4 linked regions of the Caenorhabditis elegans genome follow. The protein of the gene in region 2 interacts with the protein of the main gene of each other region in a pairwise test. Each region holds a gene or a part of one and is shown on either strand. Other genes may lie near its edges.

Evidence for each region.
Region 1: the proteins of R02F11.1 (region 2) and tni-4 interact in a two-hybrid assay, tested with the Caenorhabditis elegans proteins (one large-scale study listed by BioGRID).
Region 3: the proteins of R02F11.1 (region 2) and C23F12.4 interact in a two-hybrid assay, tested with the Caenorhabditis elegans proteins (one large-scale study listed by BioGRID).
Region 4: the proteins of R02F11.1 (region 2) and asp-6 interact in a two-hybrid assay, tested with the Caenorhabditis elegans proteins (one large-scale study listed by BioGRID).

What each region holds. Positions count from the first base shown.
Region 1 is NC_003282.8:5,202,647-5,207,744, reverse strand, and holds tni-4 (Troponin I 4), read right to left. Parts: upstream 3,155-5,098; 5' UTR 3,139-3,154; coding exon 3,115-3,138; exon of another isoform or gene 3,094-3,114; intron 2,831-3,093; exon of another isoform or gene 2,810-2,830; intron 2,743-2,809; exon of another isoform or gene 2,722-2,742; intron 2,172-2,721; exon of another isoform or gene 2,151-2,171; intron 2,139-2,150; coding exon 1,898-2,138; intron 1,791-1,897; exon of another isoform or gene 1,769-1,790; intron 1,595-1,768; coding exon 1,450-1,594; intron 1,405-1,449; exon of another isoform or gene 1,384-1,404; intron 1,016-1,383; coding exon 841-1,015; 3' UTR 621-840; downstream 1-620. Other genes in the region: Y59E9AL.36 (RRM domain-containing protein), read left to right, coding at 15-473. UniProt on the Caenorhabditis elegans protein: Troponin I is the inhibitory subunit of troponin, the thin filament regulatory complex which confers calcium-sensitivity to muscle actomyosin ATPase activity.
Region 2 is NC_003283.11:4,799,030-4,803,215, forward strand, and holds R02F11.1 (CC domain-containing protein), read left to right. Parts: upstream 1-2,064; 5' UTR 2,065-2,118; coding exon 2,119-2,200; intron 2,201-2,244; coding exon 2,245-2,412; intron 2,413-3,100; coding exon 3,101-3,381; 3' UTR 3,382-3,655; downstream 3,656-4,186. Other genes in the region: R02F11.3 (Cation efflux protein cytoplasmic domain-containing protein), read right to left, coding at 3,891-4,052.
Region 3 is NC_003284.9:9,385,384-9,389,836, forward strand, and holds C23F12.4 (LisH domain-containing protein), read left to right. Parts: upstream 1-1,957; 5' UTR 1,958-2,052; coding exon 2,053-2,098; intron 2,099-2,207; coding exon 2,208-2,291; intron 2,292-2,339; coding exon 2,340-2,395; intron 2,396-3,205; coding exon 3,206-3,580; 3' UTR 3,581-3,794; downstream 3,795-4,453.
Region 4 is NC_003283.11:8,266,659-8,270,911, forward strand, and holds asp-6 (Aspartic protease 6), read right to left. Parts: upstream 2,280-4,253; 5' UTR 2,278-2,279; coding exon 1,970-2,277; intron 1,925-1,969; coding exon 1,795-1,924; intron 1,688-1,794; coding exon 956-1,687; 3' UTR 853-955; downstream 1-852. Other genes in the region: asp-12 (Peptidase A1 domain-containing protein), read left to right, coding at 3,987-4,253. UniProt on the Caenorhabditis elegans protein: Aspartic protease.

The sequences.
Region 1 (5,098 bases), on a different chromosome or scaffold from region 2:
CTAACTATTTCCAGGAATCTGCATTCTCCCCGTCGACTTCTATCCCATCATGCTCAACTGGTCGTGCTCCTCCTCCAACTTCACCTGAAGACGAAGCCCCTTCGACTTCCGAAAGTCTACAAAATCCAATTCCATACCACATCAATATTGAGCGATCACGAAACAAGAGGAAGAAAAAGTCGAAAAAAGAAAAACCGAAGAAGAAAAAACCGCCAACAAAAAAGGAGGAAGGTATTGAGAAACCAGAACTTGTCAAGAAGAAGAAGAATCGGCGGAGGAAGAGGAAGAAAATGTGCCGAAAACTTGCCAAGTACATTCCAGGAGGCCAGGTTCGAAGATTTTTCGAGACGATTCAAGTTTTTTCGTTGAAAAAGTATCTGGAAATGAAGCGACAATGGCAAGAGTTGATCAGGCTGGAACAAGAACGAATGAGAGAAGATCAAGCTATTGAAGTTCCCGATATGGAGTTTTAATTTAAAAATGTATTTTCTAATAATTATTGTAAAATCCCCACACATGCCATTTCCCTGTTAAAATTTCAAGAAAAAAACCACGGTTCAATCTCTAGATCTACATCAATCAATTTTTATGAACTATTCATCCCGATTTTTTTGTATAATATATTGTTTTTTGATTTATTCTTGTTGTTTCAGAGCACAATTTTTAGACAAAAAATACAGGAACAAGAAAGCAAATGGATAGGGCGATGGATATGCGAAGGTGAAATTTTTATAAAGAAGGAGAATTTTTTAGGATGGGAAGGGATTGATCGAGTTGAATTTGACGAGACGTTTCCAGGGGGTGCCAGTTATCCGAAATTTTCAATGATTTTATTGGAAATTACTTAGCCCACGCGGCTTTCTCCTTCTTCTCAGTGTCTTCCTCATCGAGTGCGAATTCGTTCTTGTCGACAACCTTGAGTTGAGCACGGAAATCGACTTTGGTGGCTTCCTTCTTCTTAAGCTTGTCGAATTTTCCCTCGGTCTTGGACACCTTCTTCAGGGTTGGCTTCACGCTGGAAATTTTAAATTTTTATTTTTTGGATGAAACTTTAATTTTTTGCCGTTTCAACATTCGGTCCTGTCGAGACCGGGATTGATATGTATTTTGCGTTAAAAATTGTAAATTTTCGCATCTGGGTATCATATGAACATTCGCTCTATGAAGCTAAAAATGAACTGTATACTCCCGTGTACTGTAGCTGAAAAGTTTGCGTTCGTGTCAGGACCCGAAATTGGTGAAGCTAACAGTTCTCAAAATTTTCTACAATATCAATATTTTTTGATTTGGTGTCATTTTCGTAATTAATTTTCCTATTTCCATTTGAAAAAATTTCCCGTTTCAAGATAGTAATATCAAAAATGGCGAAAAGTATTTTCTCAGTGCCATCCAATAATTATGTGGTTAAAATGAATACCCCCAAAAACTCAAAAAATATAAAAAACGAACAATTTTCCGCGAAGATCGTTGACAGCAATGGTCAACTCGTTGATCTCGAAATCCTTTTGACGAACGATGTAGCTGACGTCATAGTTTTCAGACTCAAGATCGATGAGTCTCTCGCGGATTTCATCGTAGACTGCCTCGAGGTCATCTGGAAAATTTAATAAAGATAAAACTCATGTAGGTAACCGCCCGGAATTATGAAGTTTTTACAGAGTTTTAACACTTTTTAAAGTAGTCTATTAGATTTAAAAAATTCAAGTTTTTATTTAAAAATTTTACTGTTTCGTATTTTCTATTTAACCAAACGTATTTTGGAGAGGTATTGACATCCTAGCAAAATGTTCTTTAATTACTAAATTAAGTGTTTTGTTCTATATTTTCATACATAATTGCATTTTACTGATATCCAAAAGTAGCATAAAATAGTTGTTTTCATCTTCAGAACACTTACCTTCGTTATCCAAATCTGGAAGTGGAATGATTCTTTCTTGAAGAATACGTTGTCTCTCTTGCTCTTTCAACATTTGTTGTTGCTTCAAATCTTCGGCGGCCTTCATCATCAAAAGCTTACGAAGCTTCTTCTTTCTCTCAGGTGTCAAGAATCCTTTCTTGGCTTTCTTCATTCTTGAGGCCTCCTCGAGACGCTTACGCACCTCTTCCTTCTTGCGCTCGCGCTCCGCCATTTTGCGCGCCTAGAAATGTGAATTTGAGGTACGGAAATGGGAATATGGCGGTTACGGTAACTCAATATTTGAACTGAAGACGAAACATGACAAGGGTGAACCAAAAATATTTTGCAGAACAAAAAATCCTTAATATTAAAAATATACTTACTGAGTATTTAAAATCTTTATGGGGTCTTGTAACGGCAGCTTTTATGTAATTCGCTTTTCAACTAAGTAAAAGACATTATAAACAGTTTCAACAAGTATATGAATCATTTACAATCACTATACATCAAAAAGGTGAACAATTTTTTATTTATTTTAAAGTTACTGTTTCAAAAAAACTATAACCAAAAATGTTTCTAACTATAAACACTATGTTTTTATATAAATAATATGAACATATACAGTCGCGCCAAAGCAATCGCTTCGTCTTAGTAAGTAAGGTCTTAGTAAGATCTTGCTTGTTCACAAACACGTTTTTTTTAAATTTTACTAATTTTTTATACCAAAGCTCACAATTTTCAAACTAGTCGAATAAATATATATATATATATATATATATTGTTTCAACGAGCCCACAAATTACAGTCACATTATAGTAAACGAATGCATTGTTTCCCACTAATTCATTTCTATTTCAAAAACTGTTACAGTTTCAGATTGTTGTTAATTTATGAATTAAAACAGTTTCATGTTTATTGAAGGGTTTATCCCAAAAACACTGGAAATATTTTCATTTTTACAAGTAAAAACTATCTCAAATTTTCTTTCAGATTTCAAGAAAAAATATAAAATAACTCAATAAAAACCATTTCCAACAAAAAAACCAAATCTGTACTTAAAATTTTCAACTGTCTAGACTTACTTCTGCATCCATATGTGGGGGATAAGGCTGGAAACTTTTTTTGGTTTACCAAAAAGTTTACAAAATTACTGTTTCATGTGTTTTACAAATTCAAATCAATTTTTATCTTTGCAATGAAATAAAACCACGACTCACCTCATCAGCGTCAACGTCACTCATGGTTATTGGTTATCACCTGAAATAATTTAATACGTAATTTAAAGAAGATCCCAATCAGAACAAGATCTACGAGATGAATCATTGATTGCTGTGAAACGGTAAAAGTTGGGTTGAGACAAAGAAAAGATAACGAAAAAGTGTGGGGGACACGGCGAAAATGCCAAGAAATTTGCTCGGAGAAACTGAATTGGCTCGGCTTTTCCCGATTGCCTGGTAAGTGTGTTTTCGAAATAGCACGGAAAATGAAGAGACGAGAGGAAGATATTTGCGAAAGGGGGATCCCGGCGCCTCCCACCACCTCCTCTTCAGTTACAGTAACATGGAAATAGTATGGATTATTGAGAGATTTAGAGCATCACGGGAAGAAGCGGGTGCTTGAGAATATCCTCAGTCTGTTGCAGTCAAGGGAATTGTTGGAAAAAAAAATGGAAGGGATTGGAGTTGAAGTGAGAAAAAATTATATTAAAAATGGTTGCTGCTTTGGTTCTTGAATAGAAGTAGATAATTTTATGAGAACTGAAACATTTTTAAAGGCAAATGATTATTTTCTTATGGGTATAATAATCATAAGCTTGTTTAAAACTGAAAACTAATAGTAAAAAATTTGAATTTCCAAGGTTCCTAGAAAAACTTCTAGTTTTTGCTGAAAAAGCCTGACACTGAAAAGTAAATTTTCAGACCAAAAAAAGTATCAAGACAATATTTCTACTGAAAGAAACTAAATTTTTAGCATTTCAAAATGATAACTTCGTTACTATGATAAATTAACTTGCTTTAAAAAATTTCCTATTATTTTATCGAAGAAACAGTAAATTATTTAAATTCTATCAGGACAACAACAAGCTTAAAATGGGAACTGTGAATCATGATTGGAAATCGCCTGTTATTTTTATACCAGTAAAATGTATGTTCAGTTGATTCCACGTAGGCAGAAAAATATCTGCCTGCCTGCCTTATGACTGTGCCTACCGCCAATCAGCTGCTGAATTTTTGACAACATAGAAAGCTTCACATGTGAGCTTTGTAGCTTTCAGATTGCTACTTTTTTAATTGAAGGCAATCAATTTTGGTACTCGTTTTAATTAATGCTTCAATAAGTCATTAACTGCTGTAGGAGATTTAAAATTATGATGAAAATAAAAAAAATACCGGAAAATAAATTCAGTTTCTCTAACAAGTTTTATCTTACTATTAGAAACTAGTTTGAAATCAAATATGATTTGAGGCTCAAAAATATTTTTTGTTACAACACGACTTGAAGGTACAAGTTTCCGTAAAAAATATGATAAGTTGTCCAAAGGTTTCAAATACATTTTTTTTGCAGTTCTCACTGTTCACAGTAATCAAAAAAATATACGATTATGTTTAATAAATACAATTGCAAATTTTGTTGAATTCAAAAAATTTGCGCGTTTAAATAGTACTATAGACCCCACCCCTGTCGTTGCCAATTTTTCTTCGATTTTTAAACCTTGACTTGTAAAAAATTCCATAATTTGGGAACTTCAGTAAGACTGGGCACCGTATTTTAATAAGAAAATTCAAAACTGGGTAGCAGATGATTGTCCGGAAAGTTTTAATGAAGTTTCGCTGAAAGATTTAAACACTTATATCGCCTTGATGAAACCGTAATTGTTGGTATATGTTCCCACGGTAACATATTTTTCATTTTTCAAATGGCTCCACCTGCCTTCTGCCTACCACGCACTTTTGCCTCTATCTCGTAGCGCAAGATAGCCCACGTTTTGTCTGATATAATCATAGGGTTTGGGGGATAGAAAGAGAGAAAGGGAAAACTTCTCAAGAGTTGTCATTTTGTGCGCGAGCTTGTTTGATTACTATCTCTCTCTTTTCCCATTTTAAAGCTACAGAAATCCGGCTATTTTCTCTGCGTCTATATGCTACTATGATGGGAGAGAAGAGCTTTATGAAGGTGGGGGTGGAACAAAGTACTCATCAT
Region 2 (4,186 bases):
AGAAATAGTTTGAAATCGCAATTAAAAAAATGAAACTGTAGATTATCCTGTTTACCTGCGTGCCTACCAGGGGTGTGCGGCAAATTTACCGAATTTGCCGAATTTGCCGAGCACGGGAAATTTCAAAAAAGTAGATTTGCCAAATTTGCCGAGCTCGGCAAATTTCAAAATTTGTCGCACACGTCAAAAATTTGACAGTACAATTTTGACTAAAACTATTGATTTTTTCGCCAAAAAATTACAAAATTGAGTTATTTAGATGCATAAGCAAACATACTACACGGAACTTATTCGGAATCCAGGTGATTGTTCAGAATTCAGTAGTTTTGGTGCTCCAAAAAGCATCAATGAGTATTAATTTTTTGGAGTTTGTTGAGCACGGCTAATTTGCCGTAGGTAGGCACTTTGATGCCTCGGCGTCCCATATGCAGAACAAGCTCAAAACAGACACAACTCTGGAATATGTACGGCAATTAAAACTGAGCTTTTTCTGCGTATCTAAAGGTCAGACACAGCAGTCCAGCTCCAATTTAAGCCTTGTTCGAGCCGGGGACTGTGACCAATAGTCCAGTCGTGGATTGCTCTACTTCCCACTTAAGGCTGGATGGACCTAGTGGGAGGTAGGACTTGAACTGGTGACCTCTAGATTGCTGGCGGCCACCACTGGTTCATTGTGTCCGGACCTCGATCGCGATGTCTCCACTGAGACATTATGCGTACATCTTAAGTTGTTCGAAGACTCTCGCATGACTTCCATGTTTCTTGTTCCAATAATTCCCAGACGTCACAAAGCATATTCCACGTGTTTTTTTTAAACCGCGTTTGGACGAGTGTTGGGAAAAAAAGAGAGTTGTGCTCTCATAATGGAGGTGTATTATGTGCTCACTTTCTCTCTGAGAAGTTGCCTCTTCAAGGATGATGGCTTCCCGTCTCCGGCCGTGGTCTACACCACCCGCGTGTGTTGCATCCCAAAACCGGATACTCTTACCTGCCGGTCAGTTGGCCCGGCAGCTCTCGCTGTCTCTCTGACGCCACCGCTGCCACTCGAGTGCACCGAGTATAAAGAGCACAGTGCTCCGACACTTTAGAGTCAAATTTTCTTCCGATGGCAAATCGGCTACTCACACATCAGGAACAGATTTTGCTCTGTTCTCTGTTTTTAAGATTTTCTAGACACCGTAGTTTCCCTATTAGACATGCAACCCTTGCTCTATTTTGTTATATCTCTGTTCCCTTCGGTTCTATCAAAAAACTGTCATTAACTGACAAAACACGTGCAAAATATTTATCTACAGTTAGACAGTAAACGCCGCTTAAGTAGATCAATGAGTTTCATGTCCAATATGCTAAATACGGTAGGAATCATTTTTTCAACTATTCTAATTTTTCTTGTAGCATTAAAAAAACTATCAACTAACATCCTAACTACTATTTAAGTATCAAGCATTGCAAAAATTTAAAGAAGCAAAAGGCTCTTACTATTAGAAAGCTATATGTTTTCCATTGACCACAGACTCCGGGCTTTTCATAAAAACCTTAGCAATCCGAATATAATTGGAAAGTTTCTATATATGCTTCAACCGTGATAAGATAAGTTGAACGACATTTTGACAAGCGCGCGCTCACAATCTTTTGGTGTATGTGTGTGTGTGTGTGTGGGGTCACTCAAGTATTTGAACATCAATCGTCCACTTCATTTTACAAACACATAGACTGGACTGAGCCCGATGGGGGAAATGAGAGAGTTTCGTGCCGCGCGCAAAGAGCACGTCGCCGCGCGGAGGCGCCAGAGTCTAAGCTAACACAGAAAGTCGGAGGGAGACGAAAAAGAGAAGACGGTCAGTTAGTGTCCCCTCCCCTCTCTCCTCACTGTTACGTACAAATGACCATTTAGTCTTGCTGCTCCATCGGGCTTCTCCTTGAGAACAAATCTTCAGATTTATTTTTGAGTTACCTTACTCTACCTACTAATTTTACAGTTTTACTTACATATTACTCTTTATTATTTATCTGAATCTTTATTAGTTTCCTGATATAATATTATTATTATTATTAAAATTTCAGGCCAGCGCAGGGTCAGGTGTTCCTACTTGTCTTAAAACCTTCAAATAACTCATTATGAAGCAACTCGCCATCTCCTTCTGCATTATCCTCCCCCTCGCCTGCTTCTGGGTACTGAACGCAGAAGACGCGAAAGAAGGTATGTTGTCACTCACTCTTCAACTCCTAAAATCCGACTTTCAGCTCCAGAAATTCGTGAAGCCAACTCCACAGTATTCCGTCAGAAGAGGCAGTTTGGATGCCCATCCAATTGCTATTCCTCATGCAGTTCCTCGTCCCAGTGCCAGAGATATTCTGTCGCATCTGTCTGTGTCCAAGGATGCTGTTGCCCAGGAAACAATAACCTTGATAGTAAGTTTTTTTAATATGAAGGTTGTGTAGGAAGTTGAAAAATTGCTTTTTTTCATAAATCAGAGATGTTAAAGAAAACGTCGCAATTATTAAAAACTAGGAGCGGGGATAGCTCAGTCGGTAGTATTGATAATTAGCAATCTAGAGGTCACGAGTTCAAGTCCTGGCTTCCCTAGGTTCAGTGTACCCAGATCCGTTCATATCGCTTAAGTAACGCATCGTCCTTTAACCCTTTAGTAAGGAATATGAGATAAAAGTTGAATGCTGACACCTTTAAAATTTAGATCTCCCTTAGTTCAAACCTCAAACCTTATCAAAATCATATCAAGAGATATCAAGAATCCAGTCACCGTTCCAATTTCTCAAGTGTCCCCGCCGTTCCCTTCCGGTTCGAGCAAACACACACACTGATTACCTAATGATTGCTACAACTCCCGGGGAGACGCTGCTTAGTCCCTTTTGCGGTGATGGAGACACCTTCTTATACGGCTCAACATAAATACAAAATATTTGCGAAGTTTCGCGGGGTGTTTGCGTTTGCTCGGTGCGTGCTGCTGTGCTCTGTGTCTCACGAAGTCGGCGCGGTTTGGACAACACGCACGAACCTATCTTTTTCTATCTTTAGCTCGTATCAGAACGAGTTCAAATATGGGTGTGGAAAGTCGTCTAATTCCAACAAAAATTTCAGCCGCCTGCTCCGGAGGACCAGCCGTCGCCGCCTGCCTCGGAGGACTCTGCGGACAAGGATTCTTCTGCTCGAGCAACAACTACTGCTGCAGATGCCAATCCGGAAACAGCACGGGACCATGTGTAAACCAGGTCTGCCCAACCGGATTCATGTGCAACACCAACAACTACTGTTGCCCACTCGGATCCGGAGGAGTCCTCGGATCATGTGTCAACGGAGTCTGCCCAACTGGATACACCTGTGGAGCTGGAAACTTGTGCTATTTGAGCAGTGGAAAGTAAAAAAATGGAATTCAATTTTTCCCTTTTTTCATGCGACAAATTGCCCCCAGTCTTTCTATATTTTTATATATTTTTTTAATATATTGTACTTTCCTTCTCCGTTCTCTGACTCTCTGCTCCTTTTAAATTATTCTAATCTATTTGAAACGAATCGTTCCCACCACCAAGACAACAACATCAACAACAAACGAAATCCCAAAAAAATATTTGAATTGTTTTTAAATTTAATTTGTTTATTTATTATTTTATTTTAATTAATGAAATAAAAAAAGAAACATTTGACACTCTACGACGATATGTGAGAAAAAATATTATAGTTTGCAAATCAAAATTTTCAAAATTTCAAACAAAAAAAAGTATAGTTAATTATGCGAAAAAAAAACATTGAGAGATGCTGATGATTTCTGTCATGAAACCGGAAAAATATGAAATAAAACTTAAAGTAGGGGGGCACTGGGAAGAAGAAAAAAACAAAATCATAATGCAAATGTGCTCTAATAATAACTAATTCAAACAATTTTATGCTCGTCGTGAGGATGATGATCATAATCATAGTCTGTATGAACAAATGCACGTTCAACTTCCGGCAAGCTTTCGATGTTTGATTGGAGGGTCTCACTGATGTCATGGGATTCTTTGAGGATCATATTCTCGTCGAGCACAATGTGCACCTGGAAATATTACAGATTTTAGAGTAGCACAATAATTCAGTTGTAAGCTCAGCCTCTTCAGAAATGTGCGATACGGGCTTATGTTAGGCCTAGGTGTAGGTTTAGGCCTAGGCTTAGGCTTGGGCTTAGGCTCA
Region 3 (4,453 bases), on a different chromosome or scaffold from region 2:
AAAGAAACAAAAAGTAAGAAATTTCAATTTTAAATTACACAGTAAATTTAAAAAAAAACCATGAAACCACCAACAACTTAAATTTTCATTTTACCATTGTGTAAAATATCCGATAATTTTCAACTCCAAGACTTGTTTCTTGATAGATCAAATAGATATAATAATTTGAATATTCACCTCCTTTTTTCAGAAATCCGCCGATGATACTTCCAACTTCGATTCAGAGTTTACTCACGAGGTCCCTAAGCTTACTCCGATTGACCGTCTATTCCTCATGAATCTGGATCAAACTGAATTCGAAGGATTCTCTTTTGTCAACCCAGAATATGTTCAAGAGTGCTAAAATTCTCAAATTAATTTATTAAAAACTATTTAGATAATAATCTCATTCACCGAAATTTTAATATTCTCCGAAGCCTCTCATGCCGGAGTGACTGTGCTAAATTTTGTTTTGCAGCAAATTGTACCGATGTTACGTCACTAGTCCACTTTCTTCACTTTTTACATTCCGTGTTAGAACATTAAACATTTTCATGCACTTATTCTAAATGCGTCCTTTATTTGCTTTTTATTATATTCGAAAATTGCAATTTGTATAATAAGTATGTCATTTCTGTACCAGGCTATTTTGGTTTCAATAAAGATCTCATATAAACCTGTATATTTTTATTAGAAATTGTTTTTTTGAAATTTGAACAAGAGTGGAGAACAAGTTTATTATAAAATATATCAAAAGAGACATCCCTAAACGTAATAGCATTTTTAGAAACCAATTGAACTTTTCTATGTATCAAATAGAGTTTTCTGTTGAAAAACAAACTATTCCCCAAACATTTCTAGCACTTTTGCTGCACCTTATTAGTTATTTTTGAAATAAATATTAAAATATCTGTATATAATAAAATATTCAAAAATAATTTAAACATTTCCATAGTTTTTTCGCAAAAAAGTAAAAAATTGTTCATGTTATTTTTAGTAGTTTTGTTGCGAATCTTTTTTAGTTCAACTTGCTATTGATAATAATATGTAAGAAACCCCAATAGATTTCAAGTTGTGATGTGAATTGTAGAAATAATTATCCATTTTTCAACCCTTCTAATAGATTTTTGAAAAAAAATTTTCTCACATGTTTTTCGGTAGCTTTGAAAACATTTTGAAATAGTTTCATTTTTATTCAAAGTTACAATTTTTTTCTTCTGAAATTCGCCCAAAAAACTTTTTTATATCCGTTTTCAAAAAATCTTCAAAAAAATTTTGTTGAAAGTTTTCGATTTTTTTTACAAAAAATAGGCAACCAAATATAAGTAGTTTCTCAACTTACATAAAAATTTAGTTTAATACAATACACTCAAATGGTGATTCAAAAAATAACTTTTTCGAGCGATTTTTAAAGTTTCCTGAGAATTTCTCAGAGGCGAAAAATTAATGTATGCATGTTTGAAAATTGTTGCGACTTGGTTGCTATAATTTTGTGTAAAGTCAATAATTTTAATCTGAACAAGGCAAAATCCATTTGAAAACCTCAAATCTGAGCTTTAAAAAACGAGATCGAGCGGAAGCCTCAAAACAGTGGCTCCTAAATAGGATACTTGGGTGGTTGAAAAAATTGAAAATTACTGTCAAATGAAAAATCATAAATACAAACTCATAAATGCTCAAAAACTTAGAAATTTCTAAGCAACTAAACACAATATGTGTTTTGACCTAGGATTTATTGTCACCCCTAATGCATTAACGAGATGCAGATCTGTGGCTATTTGAAACAATTTTTCCCATACTTATGCTTGATTTCTGAAAAAAAACCGGGACTGTTCAAAAAAAAAGATTACGAATGCAATATTTCAGCTCGCTTTTTGACTACTGTTTGCCTTTTGCTAATTTAATGAACTGAATTATCAAATATGTTAGTCGAAACCCGCTCGCAAAGCAAGGCGTACACTGCCTTGCGTACGTACGCGATGCGTCTGCGTCGCGTGCCTCTCCTACTGTGTGTGTTTCAAATATTACTCCTTTACGTAGCAGCCCCAATTTACGTCAAATATTCTCGACAAAATGGATGAAGATGGGCTAGAACAGACTACTCCCTTGATGAGTTTGAGTGAGTTTTTACTTAACTTTTTTTTAAACTACTGGACGTAATTTTTTTAATCAAATAATTTTAATAGTTATTTATTTGTAGAAGATATCTGTTGAAAACAATTTTCCAGGACAAATAAAAGCTTGCGGACATCTTCTTTTGGGAACATTACAACTTCGATGTGAACAACATGGCTCAACAGAGGATCCACGAAGTGAGTGAACTTATATTCTGGAACGCCGAAAATGAACTAAAATTTCAGAAGAATCAATAACTGCACGAGTATTCCTTAGAAAGCGGATGAAGGAGTTGCCAGAGGTAAGTATTCGTTATATGAATTAAACAATAAAAATTATTGAGATAAGTATACTGAAATATGTTATTAATTTAAAATACATTACAAAGTCCGTTGTTCAATATATATATTTTTAAAGTGTAGGAACTACTAAATCAAAACTCCAGTTATTAATAACTATTTCAAAAATTCCTTGAGAAACTTATACACATTAAAGATTTTCGAAATATTAGGTTATCAATGATATAGATCCATAAATTAAATAAATAGTAATAAGTTAATTTAACAACAACTGTAAGCTTTACCTTTTGACAGAACAAAGTTATTGGAAGTAGAAAAAATTGATATTGAAAATGTACCAAAAAAATAATTGAAAATTATCGCCAGTGGGCATTTTGACTAATTTTGCTTATAATAAGCTTTCATGCCTACTGTACATATCAAAATAAAAGCAAAATGGCACTTTGAAAAATTGAGCTTTTTTCAAGGTTTTAATGAACACAAAGAATTTCAAAAAGCTTCTCAAAATGTTTACTATGATATTTGCTCATTTCATGTGTTATTTTTTAATTTTTAATTTATTTTTTATAAAGATTTTCCCCACTCGTGTTGCCTTACAAAATCATTGTTTGAAAAATAAGTTGTTTTTTCGAGCATTAGAAGGAAGCGAAATATTGAAAATGATTAAATTTAGAAATTGAAAATTTTTAAAGCTGACATTAATATCAGTCATAAACTTTGAAATAACTTTATTAAAAAGAATTAACAAACATTTGACATAGATATTCAATTTTGTGACAGATCGAAAATAATGATAACTTTTCATTTTACAGACCGACGACAAAAACAACAAAGCATTTGTTCTCCGTGCACTCTACAAACTTCTCGACGCAAACTATGCAATCGTATTCAGCAAAATTGGACAAGTATCTGGAGAACTCGCGTTCCTTTCACAAATCCACGACGATCCGGATTTTGATAGTGTGGAAACTCAATTCATTTGGACTTGTGATTATCTCTTCAAATCCGGACAATTAGAAAATGAATGGAGAGGAGACTTTATTGTACCTTCCACTCCAGAATTTGAGATGCCAATGGTTGATGAAATGGCAGAAGAAGAGCAAGCGAACTTTATGATTGAAAGTGAAATGGAGCTTCGTCGCCAACTTGAAGGATATATGGCGATTGAAGAAGGAAACAATCAATAAAATTTAAATAGTTTTGCACTTTTATTGTCATCTCAGTCATCATTTAATAGTTCATTTCTTGATATCAAATTTCCAATTCGCTCACTCGGTTATGATCCAAACATCACTCATGTCTCAATGTTCCAAATAGAAAATTTTAGTATTACCACATCTCATGCTCTCCTTTGTTGCTACTACTCGCTCTTTCCGATGGCTAATAAATTGTCGATATTTTTTTCAAACAAGTAAATCATTGAAATGAGATTGACAATGAAAAGTGCAGCACCTTTTAATTTTCAGCTTGTAGAATGTTGAAAATGAAGGTACAGTTGCGATTATAACCGCTGACTGACATGTGCAAAAAACGCACACGGCTCTGTTACATGTGGTGTCCGGTGTAGAAATATGTAGCTCAGATTATTCAGAGCCTGATAACTTTGTAAATTTTTCACACATTAAAAAAGTAACCTGCCAATATCCTTTGTTTTGTTGTACTGTTGATTGTGTTCCATGTGTTCTTATTGAATTTTCTTCATTCTCTTTAAATTTTTCAAGTTACTTTATAATTACTATAAAAAATGAAAGAGAGCCGTTTCTCTGTTTTTTTCTTTTAGGGGTTAACTGTTTATGAGCCCTCCATGCTCAATTAAAAAATAAGAGACAATATTGCCACAGTGTGGTGTGGATAGAAAATACAGTTGCTACGTTGAAGCAACAGCGGCGCTCTTTGTAGAAAGCCAATTTTGTGTTAAAATTATTCATATTAAATAGAAAAATCGGTTCGGTTGGGATGTTTCCATATTAGAGTATTTATTGGGTAATGAAAACCTGAAATTCTTTGAGACAGTTTTACAGTAAACTAATTTGATTTTTCATAGTTTTAACATCAATTAG
Region 4 (4,253 bases), 3.5 Mb from region 2:
GACCGAATATTCCATCGGTGGCGTCGTTTTTTAAATCTGCTGAAACTTGGTTTGCAATTCCGAATGTCGTTTTTGGGATTGCTAACTGATTTTCTCCGGTCGCTCCAATCTACAAAATTTTAATTGAAAGTAAGAATAATTGTTTAAAAATTATACCTTCACAATATCTTGTCAAATTTGTGTTTCGACTCACAATTTGCTCTAAAAGTTAAGTGTAAAAGTTCACTTTTAAATTTCATTCTTACTTGCATGATGTCCCTGGAATCCAAAGATTCGCGGAACCTGTGTCAAGGACAACAATAAAGCTCTGATCAGGAGTTCCAATAGTGATGTTTCCAAGATATTCAAAATCGGCAAAGTCATTGACCTAAATTAGTGTATGTGTTTATGAGAAAAATATCAAATAAAAGTTATTTTTGAAAGTTGGCTAGTTTCTATTTAAAAATTGTGAAACTTGCATAGAACAGGTTATCAGTACAAGTTTTAGATTATTTTAAAATTTGGATACGTTAAAAAAAACTTACATTCTGTGGCAAACTCTGTAGCTGCCAAGGATTACGGTTTCTTTGTCTCTCGAGATGTTTCTTATATGTTGCCCATTCTCCACTTCTCAGCATCTCGATCCTTTTTGATGGTTTCCATAATATTTTACTTTGATGTACTAATCCAGAAACAAAAACAAATAAACTTATAATTAAAATTATTGATCGCATTTTTCAAAAAGTGATCAATTTCCCCCTTTTCAATTCTGGTTTTAAGCTTTTTTTCATTTTCTTGCATCATCAAACGGCGGACTCGTTAATTTCGCTGATAACACAAGTAAACTGATAAGAGGAATGAAACATCGTGATTAAAATTCAATGCAATTCATTTCTGCAGAAAAATTGTTTAAATATTAGTTGTTTCAATTGTTTTATTATTGAAAAAGTATAAGTACATAAATAGTAATATATATTTACTTTTGGAGAGATGGAGCGAATCCCATTCTCTTGTTTCCAATATCGTAAATGTTGCAGTATTGACGAATGAATGGATCTCCAAGAATCCATGATGGTCCGAATCCTCCGAAATCGAATGGGAAGGCAGCGAAAAGGCATTGACCGTTTCCGGCATCAACGATGTAGTTGACTGGCTGGATGGAATAAGTGTTGGTTCCAATGGTAATATCAAGAGTTCCTGGCTGGGCAGCGCAGTCGATGAAGTAGACCTCGTTAAAGTCATCATAAGTGGCTCCAGCGGCCTTGGCGAGTCCGTCAACAACAGATTGTGGTCCTCCGAGGAAGGAAGTTCCGGTGTCAGAGATAACATCAACGGTCTTGGTGTTTGAGTATGATCCGAGTTTGAATCCGGCAGCCTTGAATTGATAGTAGGTGGCAGAGGAAAGTGGTTGGTAGGCAACAAGGGCTCCGCAGTTGGTGGTGTCAATGGCTCCGTAGGTGAAGACTCCTCCTCCAACATTGTTGGCGGCTCCTCTGTGCTCAAGCCAGACTGAGAAGAGTGGCTGGTCAAGGATTCCTTGGTTGATGGCGTTGATGAGTGGTGGGACAACTCCGTCGACGGCAAGGGAGGTGAAAGCAAGTCCGAGAATTCCGTCGGTGGCGTCATTCTTGAAGTCAGCGGAAATCTTGCTGGCAATTCCGAAGGTGGTGGTTGGAACAGACAATTGGGAGTCTCCCTTAGCTCCGAACTGAAAATCAATTTGATAAGGACTGATTTTTTGTAAAATTCACTTTGCCAGCTAATTTATATCAAGATTACACAACGCACACATTAATGCATTGAAGATAAACTTACTCTAACGGTATCTTGTCCGAGGATTCCGGCGGCATCTCCTGATCCGTATTGGATGGTCCAGGACTTTCCGTTCTTAACGAAGGTGCTGGAGGCAGTGGAATCGAACTTGCTCTTGGTCTTGCAGTTGGTCCTTCAAATAATCTTTTTAAATATTTCAGAACTGAAATCTACTCACTTGCAGGTTGGTCCTGGAATCCAGAGGTTAGAGGATCCGGTATCCAAAACAACGATGAATCCTTGATCTGGGGTTCCGATGGTGATGTTTCCGAGGTACTCGAAATCTCCAAAGTCATTGACATTTTGTGGGAGATTAGCAAGAACATTTGGGGACACAGCTCTGAGATTTCTCTGGTATTCAAGGTAAGCTGGATATTGTCCAGTACGGATCATTCCCATCTTCTTGGATTCCCTCCATACGATCTTGTGTTGATGGACTGAAGCCGATGCAAGGCCAAGAACGGCCAGAAGGATGAAGGTCTTCATACCTGAAAATAAATATTTCAGAAAAATATTCTAAATGGAAATGAAATTGAAAGTGTAGATAAACGAGTGAAATAATTTTCAATTTCAAGAGCAAAAATTGAAGTAGAAAATGTCAGATAGTGCTATGTTTTATACTTGTTGAGAAAACTCATGGGCGCACTGACGTAAGTTTAATTGGTTGATAAGAACCGCCTTCTTATTTGGTTTGTACCCGATCGGTGCGATTCTTATCACTAAAAAATGAAGTTTAGTGAAGAGAGTAGTGCCGATGATTCCGGCTTCTGGAAGTAACGACTGAAAACTGACGAAACAGCTTTTATGAGCTAATAAAACTCGAGTATTAACTGAATCAAAAGTGCGTAAAGTTCCGTGAACGGTACCCGGAGATGGATGACATTTGAGTCAAGTGCTGATAGGTCAATACCAGGTACACACGTAGGTTTACTGGCTAAATCCGGAGTAATACGTGATGAATTACGTAAGCGATAGGAAAGTATACAGTTTGAGCATGGCTAAAACTTGAACAGACAGAGTCCAAAGGATGATATAATGAATGACGAGAGCCTTATTTAAGGCATCACTGTAAGATTTTCCAACAATTCAATTTGCTCTGTATTATAGTTTTCAACATTATACAGTTTTTGAATTGAATAAACTTTTTGAGTTGGAAGGTTCTTAACGGCACTTTCTATCTCATCTTACTTCACAGTTAGTAAAATAGTTACAATAGTGCCCATTATTTGAATTTTATTTGAAAATTATGTCCATTTCCAATTGTTCCACAGCATTTTTTTTTGCAAAACTCCATATTTATATGTAGATAAACTTTTTGCCAGAAAACTTGCCAGGGAATAGTTAAGGATGAATTTTCAGCCTATCTTCCTAAAGACCCCAAATATAAAATTTTTGGTGGATTGCAGAGAAAGCTAGGCATGGTTTCAAGTTTTACAGTTCACCCTTTTGAATTGGAAATCCAATTAATACTGTACGCTTGTTTTGCAAGTGTACCCAAATGACATCACTATTTTCTGCAGTTTTTTTTCCGGCTCTGTATTATTTTGGCAGTCAACATGATAGCTTTATTGACATTTCTTTAAATCAAACGTTTTCCTCAATCATTTCCGCTGTTTTACTTCTCAACCTGTGACAGTACAAACATCTTGATCATCACGTGCCCAATAGCCAGGCATGTTGACTATGAGCCGGAACTTTTCTAGATAAGCTTCTTACGAATCTAGATACGTATTCTGATTTATTATCAATAATTTATCGCATCAGATCAAGAAAGTGAGAGTTCTTGCGTCAGATTGAAAGAATAATGGCCAAAGTTTCCAAACTTTGCACGGACATTCTAGTTTGCAAAGTTATGAGCTGAAGAACGAAAAATATTAGGTTTCTATGGTATTTAATCTTAAACGCATAAATTTTAGGAAGAAAGAACCATTTTAGTTCTTGAATACTTGTATTACACTTTCAAATACCCATATTTCAAGCATAATAGGACTACTGAACTTTTTATCGTACCGGGCATTCACACAGTCTCGCACAAAAGTCAACCTAAATGATATTGTATTTCAAACAGTTGTTCGTTGAAAAACTAGTAGAATCAAGAAACAAACATGATTTCAACCAAAATTAATGAAACCTCTTTTATTTCAAAACACAACACGCACTGAAAACATCGAAATATTCAATAAATCTTTTCAGAAATGAAGACAACTCTTCTCGCTTTTGTAGCCATTCTTGGCATGTGCTCGGCAACTGTGGTTCAGCATAAATTGATCTATCGGGAATCGCCAAAGATGCAAATGATGAGGCGAGGAGAATGGGGAGCATACGTTCAACACAAGGCTGCCCTACGTGACGCCAATCCAGCTGTGTTCGCCAGTGCTCCACAAAATGTCAATGATTTTGGAGATGTTGAATACCTAGGAAATATCACGATTGGAACTCCTCCACAACAGTTTATTGTCGTC